Linked DNA regions of Saccharomyces cerevisiae S288C. The gene in region 1 interacts genetically with each later gene. Each region holds a gene or a part of one and is shown in the gene's direction. Other genes may lie near its edges.

Evidence for each region. Genes that interact genetically often act in the same process or in processes that back each other up.
Region 2: mutations in ECM23 (region 1) and PUB1 together harm fitness more than expected from each alone (negative genetic interaction), as found in Saccharomyces cerevisiae (2 studies listed by BioGRID).

Annotation. Positions count from the first base shown.
Region 1 is NC_001148.4:509,533-512,236, forward strand, and holds ECM23 (Ecm23p), read left to right. Parts: upstream 1-1,568; coding exon 1,569-2,132; downstream 2,133-2,704. Other genes in the region: ssDNA endodeoxyribonuclease RAD1, read left to right, coding at 1-467. UniProt on the Saccharomyces cerevisiae protein: Involved in morphogenesis. May be involved in cell wall organization and biogenesis.
Region 2 is NC_001146.8:601,114-604,828, forward strand, and holds PUB1 (Pub1p), read left to right. Parts: upstream 1-1,793; coding exon 1,794-3,155; downstream 3,156-3,715. Other genes in the region: YNL018C (uncharacterized protein), read right to left, coding at 1-661. UniProt on the Saccharomyces cerevisiae protein: May be associated with hnRNA within the nucleus and remains associated during nucleocytoplasmic mRNA transport, once the proteins are in the cytoplasm, disassembly of PUB1-RNA complexes may occur prior to PAB1 binding and formation of a translationally competent RNP complex.

The DNA of each region.
Region 1 (2,704 bases):
GGTTTCCCACTTTAAAGATTATATGGTCTTCCTCACCCCTGCAAACTGTAAATATAATCCTAGAGTTGAAATTAGGACGTGAGCAACCTGACCCTAGTAATGCAGTTATATTGGGAACGAATAAAGTTAGATCGGATTTTAATAGCACTGCAAAGGGCCTGAAGGATGGTGATAACGAGTCTAAATTCAAGAGACTGTTGAATGTTCCTGGAGTGTCAAAAATTGATTATTTCAATCTCCGCAAAAAGATCAAGAGCTTCAATAAGCTTCAAAAGCTTTCATGGAATGAGATTAATGAACTTATTAATGACGAAGATTTGACGGATAGAATATACTACTTCTTGAGAACAGAAAAAGAAGAACAAGAACAAGAGTCAACAGATGAAAATCTTGAATCTCCTGGTAAGACCACTGATGATAACGCTTTACATGATCATCATAATGATGTTCCTGAAGCACCTGTGTAAAATATTGTTTAATTTAACGAACCCTGTTAAAACATCAGTATAAAATGCGATTAACTATAGTGAAAATAACAATATTCATTTGGTGACTTCGACCGTATATGTTATAAGTTAGACATGCTCTTTGAATCTTTTACTTTGATATTTTATTCCGCATATATATTCTTTTTTTCGCGTTCATAGTTTATTCACTCAAATTTTTCATATCATCCGCAATTCATCTTCCACTTTTTAGCAGTAAAAATGACCAAATGAAGTTCATTTATTTTTGATTTTTTAACCGTATTTGGTGGAATCTGAGCGTGGCATTAGTGAATCATTTTAAGCCAAATTACCCGTGAGTTTTTCTTAGAAGCGCACAATCATATTCATTATTAATAAATGCTTCAAATTCATCCTCTTGAATAAGGTCCAGAAATAATTTTGTCTCTTTTCCATTACCTATGTGGGTAAAAATTTTCTTTTGCGACTAAGATTCAAGAGACCAAGTTTCTTTTCCACAACGATATATAATAAACCAAATGGTACAAAGTAGGAAACAACAAATAAGGAAAGCTTTTTCTTAAGTAGATTTGTATATTTATCCAAGAATGAACGATGTGTCTCGTAAACAGTAATTCCTTTTAAATTTTATATTTCTTCTATTTTCTGAACTTTTTTACTTAAGAAAAAATTTGGAAATCATTACCTGTAGGATGGCTTAGCTCTGATAATCAACCTACCAAAGTAGTTTGCAGTTATGTGCACTTTTCCCTTCATGTTAACATTATTCGGGCCGGTCTATTGTTAAATAATTAAGGGTCCATTTTAGGCACGGCGGATTCACAGAAAACCACGCAGTGCTCAACGTCATATACCACAAAATCCGTTTTCGTATTAAAAGTGAATGTGTCAGTAAAAGGCATTCTTTTTAGCGTTCATTATTTCCTTTAATATGATGTACCAATCTGTCCACTGCCTATGTAAACTTAAAAGGGAGGCATTTATGACTTGAGATTTGGTTAAATTACCAATATCTCAAGGGTAACAATATTTGCTATACTGGTCATCTAGAATAAAAATACTGCGTTGTAGTGCTGAGTGATAGAACTTTTAAATCATATTATGTTATATAACAAAGAGCAGGGAACAAGCGGCGCTAGTAGCTCTGGTCGTAGAACGAAATTCCACTTCGATCGTTTTGTACAAATGGTTCTGTTCATTGCCGCTAATCCCAATTATTGCTGTTCAGTAGCCAGTATCCCGAAATCTGGTGTCACGCCAGATTTAAAAAGAGCAGATATTCTTGAACAGAAGATCAAAAGCTTAAATAGTGCGCTGAGTCCAAAATTGAAGGAAGAAAGTCGTCTTGGTGGGCCTTTGCATAACCCCTCTATTCTACCAGCCCCATCTTTTTCATCACTACCAATATCATCCAATGGAAAGAAATCTTTAGCAGGATATAGACCTAAAAGTAGGAAGAAACAAACTATACTCCCCAACGGTCAACCAAAAGAGTGCGCCACTTGTGGTGACACCTGGACTTCTCAGTGGAGAAGTGGACCTAATGGAAATGTTGAGCTATGTAGTCGATGTGGCATAGCATATAGGAAAAAAATGGAGAAAAAAATACGATCGCAACAATCCTCCGATGATGGTACTAAAAATTTTATATTTAAAAATAAATAGTTAAGTAGTTTGTAAAGATGGTATATTCAGCGGATTCTTCCTCTATTTTTATGTTTTTTGAGATATTTCGAGCTTTCTATTTTTTTAAAATGCCTGAATTTCCATCTTCAAAAAAAACATAAAAAAGGTACTTTACCACCAAATAAATGATAACCACAATTTACTTTACTTATCCTCCACTATCAAGTATCTTCCTACCAGGAAAAATGAATTTCAAATGATTCGAAATTTACGGAGGCTCAATATAGAGATAGTGTGACGATGTTCATAAGGGCTTTACCGCTTAGCACGTATCTACAGTTTTCACTCAATAATATATTCTCTAGGAATGATTGCCAATAGATTGATATCCAAGAGAAGGTTCAATTAAGGAATTTCATTTCGTTCTAATCTTTTGTTGAAAATAAAAATTTTTACTTATATGTTAAAGCTTAAGATTCCACATAAGGTCGAAGACAATCGTCACTAATGTGTGGTTCTGCCTGCTCATCTCTAAAATATATTACTTTTTGTACAGACATCTAAATTGAGCTGGTGCTTATGCTATTCTTATGATTTATTTTCAAGTGGTT
Region 2 (3,715 bases), on another chromosome or scaffold:
GAGAATGAGGAGGATTCCATGACGAATAAACTGATGAGGATGTGCTAACAGATGAGGTTAGTGAGGGTACCGATTCGTTGTTTTCTGATGCAGAGTCTGTTGTGGGAGATGTGGTAGCGTTATTTCTTTGCACAAGAGAAGATGGGAGCATAGCACGGTTGTGGGAGGAGGAAGAAAACATCACGTTGCAAGTATCGTTTACGGAGTGGGATAAGAGGTAGGAGGTTGTCATAGCGGTGCTTTCTTCCTGATGCATGGCAGAAGAAGTTGGCAGTAATTCGTTTATTATGGTGACATTGTCGTGATTAGAAAGGACTGTCTCTTTTACCATTGCCTCGGGTATGTTTTTTGGCGCCTGCCTTGAACTTACTCCAGAACAAGCCTCAGCAGAAGAATGACCGGAATGATTCCTCTTATACACGTTCCAGAGTGGAGCATTCTTGACATCATAAAAAAAGTTGCTGACAGGATCTTTGGACTGGTTGACGTTAAGTGGTTCCGTAGCTGGTCTGATGTTTTCTTGTACGGTATCACTGACGGCTGAGAAACCTTCAGAGGAACCGTTTTCGGGAACAGACTTGGAGGATTGCAAATTAAGCCATTGAAAGTCTAGCCCAACCTTGTTGCAGAAGGCCTTGAACTCCTGGAAAGATGTAGACATTATGTGGGCGAAAAACAAAATTAGACCAACGCTTTAGCAAATTTTTTCAACCTCAAATTGATATTTGAAGATTAGATCGGATGGTTTTTTTTCCTGTGGTGTAGGCCAAGCTTAAACAAGGTTTTAAGTGAAAGTGGAAATAATTGTGATAAACATGCGGAAAGAGTGCCAGCCTTAAATAATTCCGCATTGTTGCTATGTCGTTTTGTTTTTGTTTTTGTTTTCGTCTTATTGGTATTTGTTCATTTTACGACCACAAAGGATCCAGGGCTTCTACTTGCACAGGGAGGGTTGCTTGGTTAATACAATGCAAAGGTCAGAGATATTAAGATTTGTGAAGGGTGCATTCAATGAGTTTTTCCTTTAATGTGCCCTAGAAAGGAAGTAGTACGAACATTTCTCAGTCGGAGTTTGCCGGAAATTCGAATGACAGTGTAAGTTGATTTTTGTGGCACAGAGATAATGAGCGGTGGTTCTGGCACACATTTGTGACGTTGGTTTGATAGTGTGGAGGGAGGGTGAAAAACAGATAACAATGGTCTCTTGGCCCAGTTGGTTAAGGCACCGTGCTAATAACGCGGGGATCAGCGGTTCGATCCCGCTAGAGACCATTCTTTTTTTACATTTCTCGCAATGTGATTTATTTTGCTTACCCTTCCCACTGCCGTTACAAGGGAGGTGAACGAAGAGGCTTGTTAGCATAAGGTTTACGCGTTGCGGTTGTAAGCACAATGTTCTTACTAAACCTCTGAAGATTAATTATCCTAACGTATACTAATTAATTCAAAGAGAATATTTACTCGTTCTCTTTTCATCATTTTGTAACATAATTCTTTACGTATTTTCACTTCGTACTTTTTTCAACTTTTTTTGCCTTCGCTTCTTTTTTGTTGTAATTTTTCAATTTTTTTTTTTCATCGTTGGCCGTCTTTCCTTGTCCTTCATTTTCCTCTCGTAATAATCATTCAACTACGGTAAAGCATGCCTTTCCTTTTTTCTACTCTGCAGTTATTTTCATAATATCTACTGTTTCCATTTCGTGCTTTAAGTTAGAGTTTAATCTTCCCTTCTATCATCTTAATAGCAGGTTCATAATAAGAAGATTACCACATCTACTCTTTGTTCGATTCCAATGTCTGAAAATAACGAAGAACAACATCAACAACAACAACAACAGCAACCTGTTGCCGTCGAAACTCCCTCGGCAGTTGAAGCTCCAGCATCAGCAGATCCTTCTTCTGAACAGAGCGTCGCTGTCGAAGGCAATTCTGAACAAGCTGAAGACAATCAGGGTGAAAATGATCCTTCCGTAGTTCCTGCTAATGCTATTACCGGTGGTAGGGAAACTTCCGATAGAGTTTTATATGTTGGTAACCTAGACAAAGCTATCACCGAAGACATTTTAAAGCAATATTTCCAAGTTGGCGGACCAATTGCTAACATCAAAATCATGATCGATAAGAATAATAAGAACGTCAATTACGCTTTTGTTGAATACCATCAATCTCACGATGCCAATATTGCCTTACAAACATTGAACGGCAAACAAATTGAAAACAACATTGTCAAAATCAACTGGGCCTTCCAATCCCAACAGAGTTCCTCCGATGATACATTTAACTTGTTTGTCGGTGATTTGAATGTTAATGTTGATGACGAAACTTTAAGGAATGCCTTCAAAGACTTCCCATCCTACTTGAGTGGTCATGTTATGTGGGACATGCAAACTGGTAGTTCAAGAGGTTACGGTTTTGTTTCCTTTACTTCTCAAGATGATGCACAAAATGCCATGGACAGCATGCAAGGTCAAGATTTGAATGGTAGACCGCTAAGAATCAACTGGGCTGCTAAGCGTGATAACAATAACAATAATAATTATCAACAGCGTCGTAACTACGGTAACAACAACCGTGGTGGTTTCCGTCAATATAACAGTAACAACAATAACAACATGAATATGGGGATGAATATGAACATGAATATGAATATGAACAACAGCAGGGGCATGCCACCAAGTTCAATGGGAATGCCAATTGGCGCCATGCCATTACCATCTCAAGGCCAACCCCAACAATCCCAGACCATTGGTTTACCTCCTCAAGTAAATCCTCAAGCTGTTGACCACATCATTAGAAGTGCCCCACCAAGAGTTACTACTGCCTATATCGGTAATATTCCGCACTTTGCCACTGAAGCTGATTTAATTCCGTTGTTCCAGAACTTCGGTTTTATTTTAGATTTCAAGCACTATCCAGAAAAGGGCTGTTGCTTCATAAAGTATGACACTCATGAACAGGCCGCTGTTTGTATTGTTGCCTTGGCAAACTTCCCATTTCAAGGCAGAAACTTGAGAACCGGTTGGGGTAAGGAAAGATCAAATTTTATGCCACAGCAGCAGCAACAGGGCGGTCAGCCACTTATAATGAATGACCAACAACAACCGGTTATGTCTGAGCAACAACAGCAACAGCAGCAACAGCAGCAACAACAATAAATATTATGAAGAAAAGTGGAATGAAACAAAAAGAAAGAATAAAGAGAGGCAACCTACAAATCCCAAGATAAAATAAAAAAAGAACGACAAGAATCCATTCATTATATTATACTATTTTTAAAAAAAAAATTACTACGAAAAAGGGAGAGAAAAAGAAGAAGAAACTCAATTTACTATTGCTCGAAAAATAAAAGGGCCTATAAACTTACTCTATTTTTTTAGTTTTTCTGTGTCTTATTTCCTTCCTTCGTCACTGTTTAATTTTTAATACTATTATTTTCCTTTAAAATGTGAAAGTCATTGCTAATAGTGTGATAAAAATAAAGAACGTATTTTCTGAAGGCTTTCTTTATTATATTTCCTTTTTCCTTTCTTACCCTATTTTTTTTAAACATCCATCCCACTGTATTTTGTCGAGTCCATATATATAATTTTTGTTTTTATTTTTTACAACTTTTGTTAAGTATATAAAAATGCTACCTAGCGTTATGGAGACATGTCAGTCTTGAGTCCAGGCACATAAAGGCAACAGCCACTACCACTGCGCACCCGTGACGCTG